Rhinolophus ferrumequinum: one gene and its partner. Each later gene encodes a partner of the first gene's protein in a complex. Links are inferred from orthologs where the notes say so. Each region holds a gene or a part of one and is shown in the gene's direction. Other genes may lie near its edges.

The links. Proteins that work in one complex are often made in the same cells at the same time.
Region 2: ARID1B (region 1) and PHF10 share a complex: the UniProt entries of both Homo sapiens proteins name them as parts of the neural progenitors-specific chromatin remodeling complex. The link is inferred for Rhinolophus ferrumequinum from reciprocal best matches to the Homo sapiens genes ARID1B and PHF10.

The regions. Positions count from the first base shown.
Region 1 is NC_046286.1:98,772,359-98,782,585, forward strand, and holds the start of ARID1B (AT-rich interactive domain-containing protein 1B), read left to right. Parts: upstream 1-5,991; 5' UTR 5,992-6,051; coding exon 6,052-7,596; intron 7,597-10,227. UniProt on the Homo sapiens protein: Involved in transcriptional activation and repression of select genes by chromatin remodeling (alteration of DNA-nucleosome topology).
Region 2 is NW_022680354.1:2,534,887-2,545,142, reverse strand, and holds the start of PHF10 (PHD finger protein 10), read left to right. Parts: upstream 1-6,364; 5' UTR 6,365-6,408; coding exon 6,409-6,495; intron 6,496-7,225; exon of another isoform or gene 7,226-7,863; intron 7,864-8,806; coding exon 8,807-8,913; intron 8,914-10,256. UniProt on the Homo sapiens protein: Involved in transcription activity regulation by chromatin remodeling. Belongs to the neural progenitors-specific chromatin remodeling complex (npBAF complex) and is required for the proliferation of neural progenitors.

The DNA.
Region 1 (10,227 bases):
CTGAGGCCGGAGCCTGGCATCCTGGGACCTGATCCCCATTCTAATTCCGGTTGGCTCTGGCTCCACCTCTCTTCCCAGCAGCCAGTGGGCTCCTGTGACAACCCAGATCCGATCCTGTCAGCCCCTGCTTAAATGCTGCAGTTACTCTGCACTGCTCTTGGAATACAAACCCGGATTGAATTGGGCCTTCTGGGCCTCGCCTGGTGGCCCCCCACCTCCACAGCCTTTCCAGGCTGCCTGCCCCACCCTGCTCCTCAGCCCGTCAGGCATCCTGCTGCCTGGGACACCCTTTCCCTTCTTTCCCTGGTTGGTTTCTCCTCACTTTTCAGCCCACGCCACATTTCCTCAGGGAAGCCTTCCCTCAGGCCCCAGCCTACGTCAGGCTTCTTCGTTTATCTCCCTCATAGAATTCTGTCTCTTCCTTCAGAGCATGTTATCTCTGCACAATGACACATTTATTAGTGTGATCATTTAATTAATGCCTAGCAGGTACACTCAGTGTGGAAAGTTCCTTTTTATTTCTCACTGTTGTGGCCAGAGCCTTGCAAAGGACAGAATGGATGAATGGGGAGGCCACCTTCCCGGCTGCTCCTTGTGGGTCATGCTTTGGGAGGGAAGCCTTTCACACATGATCCATGAGAAAGCAGGTCACCAGCACCACAGAGAGAAGTACGGCTTTAGAGGAGACATCTGAGGGTCAGAGATGCAGCTACAGCCCACTAAATTTTAAGTCCTATAGTTACATGTCACAATGTGGAAATTTCCTTTAAGTTCGGGAGAGAAAAAAATTATTTATGTTTAACAACTTGGGCATTTTTAGAGGAATTGATAAGCAAATTCCTCAATGAAATTGATATTTAACCAAGCATATAACCAAGTCCTTTGCTCCTTACTAGAATAATCAACAGCTGTCAATAATTTACTGGTAAAGGTGCCCATGGATTCTCTTAATGAATTAGGGATAAAGCAATTGAATATAAACTAGGTGAAATAAAAACCATGAATGAATACATCGACACACGAGTTATTGTTGTTTGCAATTTATTGTGCTTGAAAAGTAATTTTATTTTAGAAGTTTACATGTACTATGGAGCAATTAATCACATATGAAAAAACCCGGAACGCCCTCAGATAAGTCACTGAAATGCTTCCAGAAAATTGAGGTGACTAGTCGTCCAAATGACTTCCCTTTGTATTATTATACATGACCTCAAATATGTTTACTTTCCAAGTTTAATATTTCTGAGGAACTAGAGTGGAGTTATCTATAAGGTGCCTTTTTCCAAGCAGCGGGTTATCAGTGACAGAAGCTGAACAGGTGATTATATGACATGATATAGGAGAGAATATTGAAATACACTAATAGGTACTCAATAAGTGATTCTCATGAAGGCAAAATGAATGAGGACAATACTGGGAAGAAAATGAAAGAAATGCCATTGAACACACATTTGTCTAAGTTACAGAACATTTCTCAACTAGGCTATAATAAAAATATTTATTACACATTATTCAAAATGTGGACAGTCTGGTAGAAGATAAAAAGTACAATGTTCTAAAATGTAGTAAGGTGTTTCTTCATTTATTTCACTGGCGTTGCTATCTTTCTAGGGATTTTGGAGAGAAATTGTAACAGTCTAATGTTAACTTTGACCTAAGGTTCTGGAAGTCTAGCTCCAACAATGGTGGGTTCCCAGGGGCATGTTAGAGCCATCTGAGGTTGAAGATTACGGCGAGGTGTCCACTGATGGCAGCCAACAAGACACAGCCACAGGGAAAGCTGTTGGGTGGGAAGTCCGAGCCTGCTTCTTGACTGGCCACGTCCTCCATGATGTTTCAGGGCAGCCTTTATTATGTTTTAGGGTAATTGGTTATCTCCCCTATTGAGAACAGGATCAAGGTAGTACTTACCTTTTTTATTCTCAGGGCATGTCATAGATTCTAGATAATTTTTTTTGTGAGTAAGTGTAGTTTTTCCCCAATCAGTTTTATTATCCCCACTATTATATTCTTTCTAAGTACAATAGTGCTACTGATCATCAGTCCCCAGTTTTTTAAATTACTGTTGCCTAGATCTTTTTCAAATCCTAGTTGTTTTGCATCCCAAAGTTATGGGCCACTGTTAATATGCATAGTTGTTTCAAATCAAATGTATATCCCGTATCTTGCACTAACTCAGTTATTCACTGCTAAAGTAAATCAGAGAAGTGAAAAGGACAATTGTTTAGTGCTTTTTAAAGTGCCTGACCAAGATCAGTAGGGAAATCCCATTAGCTCCATTCATCGCATTTCTCATAAATCTAAAAGGAAAGCAAGTATCCAAAGCCTTATTCTTTAATAGTTCTTATTTGTAAAACCTTGACAGGGCTTTATTCTAAATTGCTTCCAAATTATGTAAAGCATACTGAGAAATATGATGGGTAGTGAATCGTGATAGTTTCAGTTATCGAATAAATAACCAGAACAGTAAAAGGGGACTAATCTGAAAACAAACAGTGTGATGGGCTCTGATGAGGCAAAAAGAACAGAACTGTGGCATTCTTAAACTATCATCTGGCTCAATCCTCTTGAAGTGGGCAAGTCCAACAGTCCTTTATTCAGCGCCCTAAAACTTTTCAAAAAGCAGCAGTATTTGAATATTAATTTTTCATATAATTAAAAAAAGCCAAACAAACCCCAAACCCTTTTTGTAGCCAAAAGTAATGTTTAGCAAAACAACGGATAATCCTCTGGCTGCACACGAGGGCATGGGGCAACCTGTGGGTGGGAGGTCCGCTGTAGGCACCGTCACTCGGCAGCTTCCGGCCCTTCACCTCTGCGGCTTCTTGTGGCTGGAGAAACTTATTAAAGTTGTCATCATGATTTGAAGTTTAGTCAAGAGGTGTAAAAATTAGGAATTCATTACGAAAAATAAATGCGGTGATTTTTACTACCTTTTTTTAAATTAAAATATAAATGTTGAATTGCCATATATGATTATTGAAGCAAGCCACACAGTAGAAATCATGATGTATAGTTCAAATTGTGCTTTTGTGAAATGTGAACCTATTTCATCACTTTCTGACAGGCCCCCAATAATTGCCGTTTTGTTTATTAAGTCCTGGATTTTTAAATGAAACTGTAAGAGGCTTTGATTTTGTTTTCCTGAGGTGTGTTTGAAAAGTATAGGTTGAATATCTTCAGCAAGATGCTTTTTAAAAGGTATTTTAGCAGTCTCTGTGGTTTAAAAGACAAAACCAAGTCCTGCCGGCTTTGTGTTGTGCTTCTCTTACAGACTGCAGTGCCTTCTGTCTGCTTTAGGGTGTGGCATCTGCCATTGGGGAGGACAAACTGGCATGTGTCTCCTTTTATAGCAGACTGATTTCATTGTGCTGGGGCCTCTATTTCATAGCCTCTTGGTTCCAATCTTCTAGATGACTTGCTGAAGCAAATGGAATTAAAAGAGATTTTGACTTATATACCTTTTTTTGGTTTCATTTTTCTATATGAAATATTTTTAAGAAATGGGCCAGAACTGAACTTGGTGACTCATTTTCCCTTTTAGAATTAGTTTTTAAAAATAAGCCAGAAATATGGCTACACTTGTATGAATTGACTTGGATATATTTTATTGGTTTGAAAAAATGTACTGTTATGATTGTATGTATATATTTAGTTTGACTATAAATGTCTAAATGCATACATATGTAATTCATTTTAGAATATATGTATATACACACATACACAAAACATATATTTATATTTGCATACGAAAAACTTAAAAATTCAACTTATGTAGTATTATATATATACATATATATACACATATATATGTGTATATATAATTAGTATGTACTGTATTTGAATATATAAAGGGAGAAAATCAGAAGAAAAATGTCAAAAAGGCCCACTGACAAAGATGTAGTAGTCTCTTGGCAAAAACTGATGAATGATTTGGCATGAATTCATCTTACAGTTCTGTTATTCTCTTACACAGGATGATATAACCCTGTTTTCCAGCTGCTTGCATAGAACTGCAATTTGTTGTTTCTATACTCTATATAATGACCCTTGGGTGTGCATTTGATTCCCTCCCCCCATTAGTCACCTGTTTTTCCCATCTATCCTTTTCTATTTAGTCACATAACATATTGACACTTGGTCAAGCAAACAAAAATAACTACTGCACTTGAAATAAACTAAAATGGTCTTTTTGAAAAGCTGAAGAATGCAATCATTTTAGAAAACTACATTCTACCAAAATCATATATATTTCAGCTAGGGAGACCTCATCAAAGCTCTGGTTTCAAATGCTTTCTCTCCACGAAAACTGAGTCCACACTAGTACAACTGAGCCATTGCTTAGGTTAAGAATTCCTGCTATTGAAGCAATTCAAGGTGTTACTAGGTGATAAATTAACAATAAAAACACTTAAGACATCATAAAGTGATAAAACAATAGATAGTACTTTTTAAAGAACAAAGTATGAAACATTTCTACTCTAGGATTAGATATGACCAATTTATATTATGTTTGATCTTATGTTTATTAAACATAACATGTATTTCTTTTAGTTTTGTTTCCAATTGCCTAGAAACGAACTCATATCAAAAGGGTTAATTGAGCACATTAACCTCTGAAATATGGTGAAAAGCATCATATAGGTTTATGAAGTTATGGGATAAACCTTAGCTGTTGCTATTTATGACCGTTAAAATTTCCATGTGTAAGTTGTTTGGAGCATAACACACAACTCTTCATACTTTCCTTTTAGAGAGGACAAGTGCATTGTAAGAAAGACGCTCCTTTGGGAATACTTTGAGTTTTCACTGATAAGCCTACATACATATATAAGGACGCTTAAAATATAGTTATATCAACATTATCTTTGGGGCAGGTGCAGTCAATCATAAGCATTTATTGAGTACTTGCTGTGTACAGAGCACAGTGCTCCTCCGATTCGGCTAAGGATCACTTAAACTCTCCTAATTTTGCAGTTTGAAGAAGTGGGAATTATGCTGATGGCCCGAAATCAAGGCACAGAGGCTAACACTGAAAAATTACGTAACTCCTGGGAGAGACAGTCCTTTTGCACCGATTGCCCAAATATTTTCTTTCTCCGTCGGCTCCTCGTACGTAACCTTTGAGGCCAACAGACAACTTTGTTCCCCAGCCCTTCTCCCTCTTTTGTCTGCTCGTCAGACTCGTTTTCCACCTTTGTATCGTTCCTTTTAGACGTGAAAACAAACACGCGAACGCCCGGTTGGCAAGGAGACGGAGGCACGAGGGGGAAAGTGCAGCCTTCATCCGCCCCACGCCGCCGCGCTCCGGGCGCCTGCGGAGCGGGCCCAAGCCCTAGGGCCCGGGCCCGCCGGGTGCCCGGGAGGCTGCGCCCAGGCGGGCGGGCGGCGGGCGCAGGGCCCGGCGGGCGGCGGCGGCCCACCGAGTCCAGTCCACGTTTTGCGAGTGCACACGAGTAATCAGAGAGAAGTGGATAATAGTTGCTCGGGCTCGCTCGGCTCCCTCTCATGCCATGCTGGGCCCAATAGGCTCAACCAGTCGTGTATTTACCCATATCCGGGTTAGAGAGGAAAAGAGAAAAGTTTCATTTAAACCTGAACTCAAAACTTTCACCATGAAATCACACAGCGGGAACAGGCCCAGACCGTAAGGCGTGACTCCCGGTTCGGCTCCGGCGGGGCCTGTGGAGGGGGAGGGGGCTCACTCGATCCCCGTCGGGGCGTGTGGATGCGCACAGGAGGGGCCGCGGACTAAAAAGTGGGTTTTATTGTCTCCCCCCGCCCCCCGCCCGGCCTCGCCACGCCGCGGCGATCATGGCCGCGCGGGCAACAGCGGCAGCGGCGGCGCGGGCGCGGGCGGGCAGCGGCGAGCGGCGGGCGCCCCCCGGGCCGCGGCCGGCGCCCGGGGTCCGGGACCTGGAGACGGGGGCGCGCGGCGCGGCGGCGGCGGCACCGGGACCCACGCTGGGGGGCGGCGGCGGCGGCGGCGGCGACGGCGGCAGCCTGAACAGTGTGCACCACCACCCCCTGCACCCCCGTCACGAACTGAACATGGCCCATAACTCGAGCGCGGCGGCCGCTGCCGCCAGCACTAACAGCGCCAAGAGCGGCGGATCCGAGGCGGCTCTCAAGGAGGGTGGAAGCGCCGCCGCGCTGTCCTCCTCCTCCTCCGCGGCGTCCTCCTCTTCCTCCTCGTCGGGCCCGAGCTCGGCCATGGAGACGGGGCTGCTCCCCAACCACAAACTGAAAACCGTTGGCGAAGCCCCCTCCGCACCGCCCCACCAGCAGCACCACCAGCACCACCATGCCCACCACCAGCACCACCATGCCCACCACCTCCACCACCACCACCACGCATTACAGCAGCAGCTAAACCAGTTCCAGCAGCAGCAGCAGCAACAGCAGCAGCAGCAGCAACAGCAGCAGCAGCAGCAGCAACATCCCATTTCCAACAACAGCAGCCTCGGCAACGCGGGCGGCGGCGCGGCTCAGCCCGGTCCCGACATGGAGCAGCCGCAACATGGAGGCGCCAAGGACAGTGCCGCGGGCGGCCAGGCTGACCCCCCTGGCCAGCCTCTGCTGAGCAAGCCGGGCGACGAGGACGACGCACCGCCCAAGATGGGGGAGCCGGCGTGCGGCCGGTACGAGCACCCGGGCCTGGGCACCCTGGGCGCGCAGCAGCCGCCGGTGGCCGTGCCCGGGGGCGGCGGCGGCGGCCCCGCAGCCGTCTCGGAGTTTAATAATTACTATGGCAGCGCTGCCCCTGCTAGCGGCGGCCCCGGCGGCCGCGCTGGGCCTTGCTTTGATCAACATGGCGGACAACAAAGCCCCGGGATGGGGATGATGCACTCCGCCTCAGCCGCCGCCGGAGCCCCCAACAGCATGGACCCCCTGCAGAACTCCCATGAAGGGTACCCCAACAGCCAGTACAACCATTATCCGGGCTACAGCCGGCCCGGCGCGGGCGGCGGCGGCGGCGGCGGCGGAGGAGGAGGAGGCAGCGGAGGAGGAGGAGGAGGAGGAGGAGGAGGAGGAGCGGGAGCGGGAGCGGGAGCTGTGGCGGCGGCGGCCGCGGCGGCGGCAGCAGCAGCAGCAGCAGGAGGCGGCGGCGGCGGCGGCGGCGGCTATGGGGGCTCGTCCTCGGGGTACGGGGTGCTGAGCTCCCCCCGGCAGCAGGGCGGCGGCATGATGATGGGCCCCGGGGGCGGCGGGGCCGCGAGCCTCAGCAAGGCGGCCGCCGGCGCGGCGGCGGGGGGCTTCCAGCGCTTCGCCGGGCAGAACCAGCACCCGTCGGGGGCCACCCCGACCCTCAACCAGCTGCTCACCTCGCCCAGCCCCATGATGAGGAGCTACGGCGGCAGCTACCCCGACTACAGCAGCCCCAGCGCGCCGCCGCCGCCGCCGTCGCAGCCCCAGTCCCAGGCGGCGGCGGCGGGGGCGGCGGCGGGCGGCCAGCAGGCGGCCGCGGGCATGGGCTTGGGCAAGGACATGGGTGCCCAGTACGCCGCCGCCAGCCCGGCCTGGGCGGCCGCGCAACAAAGGAGCCACCCGGCGATGAGTCCCGGCACCCCTGGCCCCACCATGGGCAGATCCCAGGTAACCCCCGCGCCGGCCGGGCCTGCTTCCGCCGCGGCCTCGGCGCGCGCCGCGAGCCCTAGTTTCTTTCTTTCCGCGTACTTTTTCTGCGTCTTCTGTCGGGGGAGGTGGGGGTGAGGCGCCCAAAGCCATTTTAAGTGGTGGACGCCTCCCTTAGAGTCTGGGGAGCGCACGGTGTTCGAGTGCGCGGCCCGGGGGCCTGGCGAGGGGGTCTGGCCGAGGGCCGGGCCGGGCGCTGGCACTGCCGGCGGCCGAGCACCCCGCCTCGCCACCCCACCCCAGGCCCGAGCCGCGCGTGCCGGAGTCGGGGACTGCGCCGCCAGCCAGCCGTGTGGGCGCTGGGGACGGTCCGGCGGCTTTTGTAACCAGACCGGCGCTCCGGCCACTGTGGTCTGGGCAAGAATATTAACCTCGTCTTCTCGGTTAGCGCCAACAATAAGCATTAACTGGGAAAAGAACGAGGAACTTTGTCCTACCTCCAGCCACACCACGTTCTCTTTCGGCTTCCAAGGTGAAGGCAGGAAAAATAGGTTAGCTTTGTGGTAACCGAGTGTGGTTTTCGGAGTTATGCCCAGCCATTCAGAGATAATTCGATGCGGGCTTTGAGTTGGAATATTTACTAGCAAAAATAATACCCAAATGTACAACGATGTGAGGTGAAATATTCTAAAATATATCGATTCATTCCTAAGAAGAGCCAGGAAATCCATTATTTGGCTTACGGGCTGCTTGGAAGGAGTCACCTTCAACAGATAGGCTATGTTAAAGGAACACAGTCCGGTTACATTGAACTTATTTTGATCATGGATTTGGCATACATTTTATTCAGCAAGTCCAGGAAAATAGCAGGTCAGTGAAAATTGATCATTTTGGATAGGATTTATAAGGATTTTCTTTAATTTGCTGTCACCCAAGTCCCGCAGCGTTATTAGGAAGTGTCCTGCACTCTTGCCGCTTCTTGCTCGTAGGCTGAGCCTAAAGACTGACTTGATCTCCTTTGCAAGGTTTGGAATTTGAATTGTGGAGGTAAACTGGCTGTAATAGTCTCCAGACAGCTGCCTCTGAGTTGACATCTAATCTGCCATCTGATTGGCTCCCCTCTCACCATTGGGCATTTAGCACTGCTGATGTAAATAGTGCTGAGCAGTACAGTCACAAAATTCTTGCCACAAATAATAACTGAGCTCTATTACAAGCAGATGTAAGGTTGAATGTTATTTAAAGCTTAAATTATTGTGAATCGTATTTATTAGTAAGAGAATTAAATACATGAAAACGTTACACTGGTGTCCAGTATTCGGCATTGACAAAATTCAGATCTTTGGTAATCCTAACATGGACATTGCATGTGTCACAGCCCTTGACTGTAGAGTGAGGAGATGGCAGTTAGAAGATAATTAAAGGATTTTTACCAAATTGGGGGTTTGTTAAGCTTTATAAAAATAGGCTTTATAGATTAAACTATAAAAAAATTTGCATTATGTCATCAGACATAGTTTATTATAAATTTAAAAGTTATACTATTAAAAATTTCAAGATTCTGATATACAACAATACCTTTCAGTGAAATTTAATTAGCTTTATAACAAGATTAAAGCTGTATTTCTAGTCATTTGTTTTTAACAATTCTGACCATTTTGTTTATGGATGAGATGTTTTAGTTAGAATTGACATTATATTTAAAAAACATGAAGAGAAAACTATATAATGTTTGCAGAGAACAATTAGTTAAAAGGAAAAAATGGATAGTCTTGTGAAATACTAAAAGTCATTTTATATTTGCTTCTGATTTGGAGAATACAGAAATGCCCCAAGAACCTTTTTTTCCCTTGATTATTTTGTTAGATTAGCTAATGTGAGCCTTATTTGAACTGTTTACACAATGAATTAGGGAAACTATATTACATTTAAGTTATGTTGGGTGTGTTTCTTCCAAATAATTTGTTTTTCATAGACATTTTCATGCTGTGAAAGGTTTTATATTTTTAATCTGTTTGAAAGGAATAACATTGTTTGTAATGTATTTTTCTACTCAGCTCATTTATTTAGGAAGGTGTATTTTAATAATAATCATATCTTAGAGGAAAGACTTGTCTGAGTCAGTGAAGGACTGAATTTAACAGATAATCATGTGACTCCCAGGCTGAGGACGTTTGTGTCCACTGCTTTCAAATCTTTAGTTAGTGGAGTTTTACTTTTAATGATAATATATATTTTCCTATTATTGATAGAAAACTTGCGATTTCAATTTTTATTTTTGATTCTCACAAGTAAAAACATACAGAAACCTTATGTAAATAAATCCATGTAATTAATTTTAAAACGATTTGCTTTGTCAGCTTGCTTTTAAAGGGACAGTTTAGAATTCACATCTTTGTAAACTAGAAATGAAAGGATGACAGACGCAGATGTAGGTCCATGTTACTTTGGAGTATTATTTCTTAATGGTACCAATCATTTTAAGTATTTTGTTTTCTTGGAATGAGTGAATCCATTATGTCCTCAGTGTGACCCTTGGGAATAGCTTTTTTATTTTTGCGGGGGAAGAAAAATGATAGGCATATGACCTAGATTCACAGATTTCTTTTAGGTACCTTACCGTGTAACATGTGGAATGTGTATTCTTTATAT
Region 2 (10,256 bases), on another chromosome or scaffold:
GAGCCACGTACACTTTTGGTTCCCCAGTGTGTATATTAGTTACATTTACACTGTACTGTAGTGCATTAAGTGTGCAATTGCGTTATGTCCCCAAAACCAATGTACTTACCTTCATTACAAAATCCTTTATTGCTAAAAATGCTGACCATCATCTGAGCCTTCAGCAAGTCCTAATCTTTTTGCTGGTGGAGGGTCAGCCTCGATGTTGATGAAAATGCAGTATCTACGAAGCGTAATGAAGAAAATGCCAGAAATGAGCCGTGTCTATATCAGAACTTGAAACACCTTGTCTGACCGAACAGGCAGTAAAAGTACCCATGAGCTGAGTGGTCTATAAACAGCAAGGTAGAAAGGGAGAGGAAAGCTTTCTCTCTGCTTAATGTGTTATAATGACTCGGTAATCCAGCACTAACACTGCCACGCTACACAGCACAGACATGGCAGTTGCAGCCCTGAAGATCGTCTCAGCAGGAGTTGTCAGTTGTCACCTTGGCCTTGGAAAAGAGTCAGTAATAACCAACCTGTGACATCCTTCCTGTTAAGCACTGTCCCTTCCTGGTGAACTTGCCGGGATTCATTAGTTGTAAAGTATACTGCCTCCTGTCTGAACTGACGGCCTCGCAGACGGGGCTGTGTGTAAAGGAGAACTACCCCTTCCTCCGCGGCTGAGGCACCTGTGTGACTTGTTAGGCACTATTATAATCAAGCACTTCTGCGCACCCCTACCGTAGCCCGGAGCATTAAGTACTAAAATGTTACCTATGATTATGCGCTTTGACATCTCAGAAGTACCTTAGTTTTGCTCTTTCTCTTGCCCACATCCCAACCCCATATATATTTAGCTGTGACATTTATAGACTGTAATTTTTTTGAAGTGCTTCCAAATGAATTTCCGTCACTAGAAATCCGAACATCCCCTAATCTGACCCACTGCTTCTCAAAGCCTTTTACTGCAGGCTACTGGACTCCCTTTCTTTACGTGCTTCTAGAATCCTTCCATATGCCCAGATGCACTGTGTTTCTTACCTCTCCACCGGCCTGCCTTTTCCCTGAGGACAGTCCCACTGAAAGCTGCTTTTTCTCTCAGGGCCAGGAGGTGGGTAAGGTGGCCCTTCTGACCTTAGAGCATCTAGCAGCTGGGAATTTAAATATCCGGATATACAGCCCTTCACCTCTGTGTATCACCCGGGCCTCTAGTCCCTTGGCTTGTTCCTTCTCATCACCTGGAGACTTGATTTACCAGATCACAAGCTTCATCTCTACTCGGCTCCTGCCATCATTCTTTGTGACTTCAACTTCCATGCAGATAATCACCAACAAGGCAGTCCCCGCTTCATGCGCTCTGATACGCACACATCTAGTTACCACAGTCCATTAGTAAAACACCAGTTCCCCAACACCATGCTTCGACTTTCAGTCACCACCGTGTATTACCTGTGAGTGATTTGGGAAGGTCCAAACTCCACAGCTAACTCTAGTCCACACATCCTTATGTAAATAACAGATGGCTTCATGATCCTTTTTCCAAGTCTGTCAGTCATTGGTCATGGCACATCTGTTACTCAGCTCAGTTCACAACACAGCAGAGCTTGTGGTTGTGTTGTCTCCTTGTCTCCCAGTGATGTGATGTTTACAGAAATGGGCCAATAAAAGGGATTGGCCAGAAAAGAAAAGTGCATCAAAGAAATAAGAAGTGACGATGCTGGAAATGAGTTGAATGTGATTAGGACATTTGAAAATGACAACAGCAAAGCCTAGATAGGATGACCGCTATGCCTGGCTGATGGTACTGTAGGAACCACAGGGAGAAAAGCCAGTGAGCAGAAAAAGCAAGGTCAAGTCGTGTCAACATTTTTTTAGTTTAAATTGCTCTCAGAACAGAAACCCATGTATGTAGAGAAAGACCTTCCTCTTTGGATAGAAAACTGGAATAAAATAAAATTCCCAGTCTGGCTAGCGAGCACACAGGAGCCAAGTGCTGTAGTTGCCATGTTGAAAAAAAACTCATTACAAAGGGACTGAAAAACCACCTTTTCCTGCCAGTAAAGCTGCTTCTGTCACTTTATAAGTCGACGTGAATTAATATTGAGCTACCTGGGAAGCTGCTAGCTCCAGTCAGGGTGCTGCTGTGACTTCAGATGAGTGAGAGCAAGCAGTTGTGGCGAAAGGATGAAGATGTCCAGAGGAAGAGAAACTGGTAACAACTTCACTTTAAAGAAACTCTTGGAGATACTTTACAGCATTGAAAATGCAAAACAAAATGTTGGAAACTACCCAAGCTCAGAAAAAAAAGTATGACAACGTATCAAGATATAGAAAATATAAGTCATAGGATGGGCAGAAGGCAAGCACACTTCAAACTACTCTTGGAAAACTGTTTACAAAGAAAATAATTCTCAGTGTTTCTCATGTTCTAAATTGCAGTGTGCTCAGTACATGTAAGTTTCACAATCAAAAACATTCCATATACATTTATAATTGGCAGTAAGGGAGTTTGATGTTTTAACAAAAGTTTTTTTAAAGTCATAGAACAATTGCAATTTTTCTCTTTGATTCTTAAAATTGCTTTGCATGATTGTGGGTTCTGTGGTCATTCTTATAGTCCTGTGGCATCCGGCAAAGCTGGGACTCTAGCTTCTCAGTTCCTTGACTAACTCACGCTCAGTGACCTTTTCCTGTAGCTCACCTGGGTTCACCCTGTAGACCTTGTGATTATCAAAGTCAATTTGACCTCTGAACTTGCAATTCCAAGCAGGTTATTCTCATGCAATTATTTCCTGTCCTTCCTGCTCACCACTTGTAGTACCTGAAGACAGCCACTCTTCAATCTTATTGAAATCTCCAATTCATTACCTTCCCCCACTATTACTAGTCCTCTTCTTGTCCTTGGTCATCTCAGCTGTCATGGCCCATCAGTATAATCACTGCCTTACAAACACACTCCAGGTCCCTTTGCCTCTTTTCTTCACCTGGGAAAACCCCTTCCTGAATGGACCCTATTACCCACTTGACTAGCTTGAATTCAAGTAGCTAAACTTGACTGAGAACATTGGAAAACTAGACTGACTGGTTGCACTTTTAACTCATGACCCCAAACCTCCAGAGGGCAAACCACTTGGCATCCTGGAAACTGCTCTTCTACTGTCTACACCTTCTTTCTCCTCCAACTCTCTGTATCCCTCCTTCCCACTCGCTTTCAGCTGATGATCTCACCTCATACTTTATTAAGGAAAGAGAAAGTATCAGAGGAAAATCCTTCAGGTTTTCCACCAGCAAATCTCTAACCCTACTTCCATCTGCAGCCGCATTATGTGTCCCTTCTGTGCCGAGGGATGGACCAGCCCGCTCCCAGCAGCCGTGTCCTCTCTCTCCTGTCGCCATGACTCGCCCTCTTACTGAGTCATTCTTGTCGGCATGGTGCCTCCCATCTTCAAAACATGACCCACCCCTCTACCCTTTTTCTCTGCCATTACTCTTTGCAATCATACTGCTTCCTATACTCTGGCTACAGTCCCTAGCCTCCTATTGCTTCCTTAATTGACTTCAATCTAGTTTTGAAACTGCCACTCCACTGAAATAACCTTGAAGGAATTAAGGTTGCTCCTTATCCCCAAATTGCTAAACACAGCGGGCATTTCTCTGTCCCCTAACTCAACTTCTCAATTGACATAGTTGACCAGTCCCTCTTTTTGAAACACTAGCCTCGCAGCTTACGGTACTCAACTCTTAGTTTTCTTCCTTCTCTATTTCCATGTATGTCTCTGGATTTCTTGGTCTCTGGCCTTTTTCTCACCTGTATCTACATATTCTAAGTGGTCTCATACAGTTTTTTGCCTTTTTCTCTTTACCACTGTATTGCTAGTGCCTAACTCAGGGCCTAACTCGATAAATAGTAAGGTAGTATTTGATAAACAAATGAGTGAACACATGATTCTTTGTATTTCTATCACCTAACATACGGTAGTTCTTAGTTCATAGTTGGTTTCCATTAACTATTTGTGAAATAATTGAGTGGACATTATTCCAATCCTACAGATGAGGAAACAAGAGGGTCAGAGCATAAATAATGTATCCGTGATCACACAGCTAATCAGTGGCACAGCTGCCATTCAAACTAAAGTCTTATTTTCAAATCTTTGTTCTCGTCATTACATCATATTGCCTCCCTGCATATTTATCTCTAACTCCTAGACTCTGCCTTCATTTACCCTATTCTCAAGCCAAATTCAATGACTGATGTACCTGAATATGGCATGTGTCCTATTTTCCCAGCTCTCAGTCTTTTGGGGCTTGAGACCCTACTTCCAGTTCCAATTGTACATTTTCCTGTAGCTGTCCAACCAATCTCTTAGGATACTTTTCAAATTCCAAGTCAACCCTGACATCTTAATTTTTCTAGTTGCAAGTAAATTTTCTCCCACTTAAAGCTCCTTTTGTGTATTTGTATCCTATTCTTCCAGCATTGAAATACCTACAGGCAGCGATTGTAATCCACATAGTGACTCCTTAATGTTCTGCCTTGCCTTGGTGGAAAGGCCAAATTCGTAATTGTTGATTTGGAATGAAGAGTTTTAAATTTTATTTGAGCTAGAGACAGAATTCCCAAGGGAGAAGAGTAGAACCGAAAAACAATATATATATATATACATTAAATTCTCCAGAGAGTCTGACTGAGAGCCTTCATCAATTAAGAGAATTTGGAGAAAGATGCTGATTCTTGGCCGATCAAGACACTGAAGGGTCATTTTCTGTAGTGGACTCTTGGTAGTGAAATGGGGAATTGAGAAAGCAAAGTCTAGATTAGGAGCAGTCTGTGAGACTGAAGTTGTTGTCGATGCCATTTGTGACCGGGTGCAAGTGGGGTCAGGAAAGGGTGGGCTCAGAGAGTCAAAGTAGGCTGTTTGTGCTATGTCATGGGCTAGAAGTAATCCCTTTGTTTTATGTTTCCAAACTTGTCCGCTGAGTGTAAGCAAAAATAATGAACGAAAAGGAAGCCATATTGAGCTCTAAATCCAAGAACATTCTCTATTGTCCCGAAACAAGTCTTGTACTTTCTAAGATAATAAAGTGTCTGCTGAGGGATCAACTTTAACAAATTTCTGGCACCCTTGTCATCTTATCACAGCTGTCTGCCATGTGTTGAGGTTCAGTTCCTGAGTTTTTAAAAAATTTTGGTGAAGTTGTAGACCTGACGGGGTGAAGCCTAAGAACTAGGATTAGGAGTAAACTCAGTTCCAATAAAACAGCTCCAATTTTCTTGGTGCCTTTCATGGGCCTATCATGTACTATGCATGCCCCTTACAATAATCCCGGAGACTCGGGTTTTTCTCCCCTTAACAGGTGGGAAAAGAGGTTAAATGAGTTGCCAAGGCTGGAATAAGCACCGGTGCCAGAAACCAAACATCAGTGTGGTTCCCAAACGTCCTGTGGCCTCTGCAGCAGTGTCCCCTGGCCGGTTGCCTTAGGAAGCTCCCTGCAGCCTCCTCGGAGCCACTGTCGGTCCTCGGTCCTCTACGGCAGGCCGTCCTGTTGTCTGTCATGCGAGCGCAGAGTCACACGCACGCAAGCTGAATTTCAGCAGCTTCTGCGGTTACTGGCTTCGGCCGCACTGAGGTGGACGTGATCAACTTTTCAAATGGAACCGGCTGCGGACGTCATTGGGTTGTGCACATGCACGGCAGGTGGTTCTGAGCAGCACAGCCAGGCTGAAGCGGAGGACAAAGGCAGGCGGGGCGGCCGCTGGGCAGGGGGCCGCGAGGCAGTGGGCAGGGACCTCTCAGCCCGCGGGACCCAGCGCACCGCGACCCGGCGTGGAGTGGGGGTCAGGACGCGGGACCCCGGGGGAGGGGGACGGGACCCCCGGGCACCGGGAGGGCGGGCGGGGCGGGGCGCGCGGCGGGCGCGGTGGGAGGAGAGGGCTGACGTGGAGGGGCCGGGCCGGGGGCGCGGGGAGGGCGGGGCCGGGCCGGGGGCGCGGCGGGAGGTGGGGCGGCGGAGCGCGGGGCTGCGGCGGGCGGGCGGGCGGGCCTGGGTGGCCGCGGCCCGGGGCGCGCGGGCTGAGGGAGCGGCGCGGCGGCGGCGGCTGCGGGCTGCGGGCTGCGGGAGCGGCGGGCCGAGGGCCGCGGGGCGGCTGAGGGCGGCGGGCGCGGGGGCCTCGGCCGGGGCCGAGGGCGGCCGGGCGGGCGGGCGGGCGGGCGGCGCGCGGCGCTGGCGGCGGCCATGGCGGTGGCGGCGGCGCTGGCGGGCCGCGGGGCGCGCGGCGGCAGGGGCCGGCCCCCGGGCGGCGGGCGGGCGGAGGGGGCGGGGCCCGGGCGGCGGGCGGCCCGCGCGGCGGCGGCGGCAGCGGCGGCGGCGGCCGGGACGAGGCGGCGGCGACGGCGGAGGCGGCGGCGCGGGGCGCTCGGGCTGATGGCGGCGGCGGCCGGCCCCGGGACGGCGCTGTCCCCGCGGCCGTGCGACAGCGACCCGGCCACCCCGGGAGCGCAGTCCCCGAAGGTGAGGAGGCGGCCGCTGGGCGAGCGAGCGGGCGGGCTGGACGCGGGGCCGGGGCGGGGGCCTGGGAGGCGCGGAGGCCGCAGCCTCGGACAGCGGCCGGGCCCCCGGTGCGCAGCCGGGACGGCCGCGGCCTGTTCCGCTTCCGCATCCTCCGCGCGTCGCGGCTCGTTTATAACCGCCGAGCGGCCGCCGGGCCGCGGCGGACACGGAAGTCAGGGAACTGGGCCGTCCGTGGGCCCGACACGCCGCGGGCCCCGAGCGCGCCCCGGGAGTTGTGAGGAGCGGCGGGGAAACGCGGCCCCTGGACACTCGGCGTCCTGGCGACTCCGCGGCGGCCCGAGAAGACGCCGTACTTGGCGGCGTCCGGACGTAACCGGACTTGGTGTCCCGGAGGCGACGCCGAGTGGACGAGACCACCAGGGGCCGCGGGACGCCGTGCGGTGCTGCGTGCTGGGACCAAGTTTGTAGTTTGTGACACAGGTTGGAACGGAGGCGTAATTTTAAGAACCTCAAGCCTTAAGTTGTTGAAAAGTTGAAATTAGATCCTGGGAGAGGACATTTGCGATGGATCCACCTCTTTCCTGAAGGACCGTGTCGCCGGGACCCGGGAAGGGTTTCGCTGGCGGGAGCGAGGCCGCCCTGCCCCGCGGCGCCCGCGCCCCGCGGTGGAGCGACGAGCCTGAGCCGCGCGCGGCGCGCAGCCTTGGAGCGGCTGGAGCCCGTCCCGGCTGCGGCGCTCGGGCCTGAAGCACCGGTGTGGAGAGACACTTAGGGGTGGACCACCTGTGACTCAGGGGCAAATGTCTGACCTAGTCAGGTGGCAGTCCTCAGACGTGGACTTTAGTGTCCCCATTTCTTAGCCAAGGGAAATGTACTTAAACACGTGGACATAAAAATTCTTCAAGTGCTCAGAAGCAAGCAAAATAGCAACACGTGATACCCGGATGCTTAAAAGGCATCATGCCTGAAGTATTGAATATGAAATGGTTCAATTGTGATACTTACTGTTAAATGTACATTTTTGGAGAATATTTAGACAGTTCTCCACATCCGAGCTGGCTGCTTGCCTTAGGAATATACAGAGCTCTTCCCACTGAATGCTTATTTTATAAGAATCAAAAAGGAGAAGGAAAATATTCTGCATCTTTTACTTTTTGGGATAGAATCAGAGTAAATTCCTTACAGCTGGGCCATTGGAGACTTCTAAATTGTCGTCGTCATCATCATCATCATCATCGTCGTATTAACTAACTTTTATTGGGCTCTTAATTTTTTTCTGGATCTTGCTTTTAAGTGCTTCCCATCTAGTAACTAATTTAATCCTTGTATTAGCCAAGCAACACAGGCACTATTCTCTCCATTTGACAGGTAAGGAGTGGCTCAAAGAGCATAACCGCTCAGCTAATGAAGGGCAGGGCCCAGACCCAGGCAGCCCAGCTTTGGCATGCCTGACCGACATGCCTTACTTACTACCTCTTTATCTTCTTCTGCAGGATGGCTTTGCTTTTAATACTTAGCAAGAGGACCCTGGTATTTAACGAAATTGTATTAATCTTAGTAAGCTACATTACTTTGATTTAAAACAATGTAAGCCTTCTAGTCATTAAGCCTTAGCTAATATGTAAATATATCAATTTCCTAACATTTGATACTTCACTCATTTCCTTAATGATCCAATTTACAGCCTTGATATTATAATCCCATAATGCATAATGTCACTTAAAAAATTTTAAGCCTCTCCTTTTTTGGGGGGGAGGGTTTTGCTTGATGACTATATAGATTGATGACTCTTATTAGGGTATATTATTGCTAAATGTTTACAATGTAAGAAAAAAATGGAACAAGACTGGTAATCTGTTTTTAGTCCTTGTATGTCTTTTCACAGGGATATAAGTACCTAAAATAGCCAATTAGTATAAACCAGGTGTGAGTCAAGTGAAACAGGAAATGATCCCTCCATATATTTTGTTCTTACCTGAGGTAAGAAGGTTTGCTCTAATTTTAGAGTTGCCGCAATTTTATGTTTGTTTAAACTAGAAGGCATTTTAACCTTAAGTGAGAAAGCAAAAGTAGATTTAGATTTATAGGTTAATTGAGTTTTTTACTTGTATGGAAGACCAGTTTTTAGTTTTTTCCAGGTCTTGCCCATGCCACATTCTGGGCTTCCTTTTAATTTTAATGGAAAGTTAGCATTTATATAACCAGCTGTGCTTAGAAAGTCTTCAAGTGCGCCTTTTAGCAAGTCTGAGAAGATACGTTCTTTACATATTAATCTTTCTCTTATTATTTTTTGAATCCTTTTAACGTATAGGATGATAACGAAGATAATTCAAATGATGGGACCCAACCATCCAAAAGGAGGCGAATGGGTTCAGGAGATAGCTCTAGGAGTTGTGAAACTTCAAGTCAAGATCTGGGGTACTGTCGTTTTATTGCTTAATAACATTTTTTGTGGTATGTTTCTCTTCTCTGCATTAGCTCTCCACTCCCCTCCCCCTAGCTCTAGTAAAAGCAGGTATCAAAAATTGTAGAATGTTTTTTCTCACATTTTACAGTATGACACCAAAGTTTGTTTTGCTTTCCATGCAATTGAGTGTTTTTTTTTTTTTAAGTTTTGCATAAAATTCACTATTTTAACTGTTTTTAAATGTGTAGTTCGGTGGCTTTAATTCATTCGTAATGTTGTGTATACCATCAGCACCATCCATTTCCAAAACTTTGTTGCTACTGAAAACAGAAACTCCACAACCATTAAGCACTAAAAATTCCCATTTCCCTCTTCCCTCAGCCCTGGCAATCACCACTTTACTGTTTGTCATTATGAATTTGCCTATTCTAGGTACCTTGTATAAGTGGAGTCATACAATATTTGTCATTTTGTGTCTGGCTTATTTCAGTTAGCATAATTCCTTCAAAGCTCATCCATGTTGTAGCATGTGTTAGAATTTTCTTCCTCTTTAAGGCTGAATTATACTCCATTGTATGGATGTACATTTGTTTATCCATTCGTCTGTTGATGGACACTTGGGTTGTTTCCACCTTTTGGATATTGTGAATCATGCTGCTGTGAATATTGGTGTATACATATCTGTTCAGAATCCCTGTTTTCTGTTCCTTTGGGTATACACCTAAGAGTGGAATAGCTGGATTATATGGTAATTTTATGTTTTCTACAGTCGCTGTGCCATTTTATATTCCTACCAGCATTGCACAAAGTTTCCAATTTCTTTCCATCCTTAGCAATTTGTTCTTTTCTGGTTTTTTTTTTTTTGTGTGTGTGTGTGTGTGATAGGAGTGAAGGGTCCAGTTTCATATTTTTGCGTTTGAATATCCAGTTTCCCAGCGCCATTTTTGAGAAAACTGTTCTTTTCGTTCGTTACTTTAAATTGGTTAGATATATGAAATAGTGTCACCTTCCTGCATCTATTACCCATTGATGAAATTTAGAGGTTGGATTGGTCCAGGTCCAGAAATTGGAGTCTTTGCTGTTCAGGATTGGGATTGATCTGGGATGCACTGGCACCATCAAACTGGGTCCATTCTTTGCTTCTGGGTTAATGGAGTCTGTCACAACACATAATTATGGTTTATAGTTTAATTCATTGGGAAATAGGTTTCTAGAGTTCTGCTTTCTCACCTTTGCGTGACTCACTGAACAGCAGATGGAGAACAAGTTACTTTAAACCCTGGTTGGATGAACTAGGGGCTATGGGTGTTACACCAAAAAGAAAGAATTCAGAACTGGTGTCACCACACTGTTT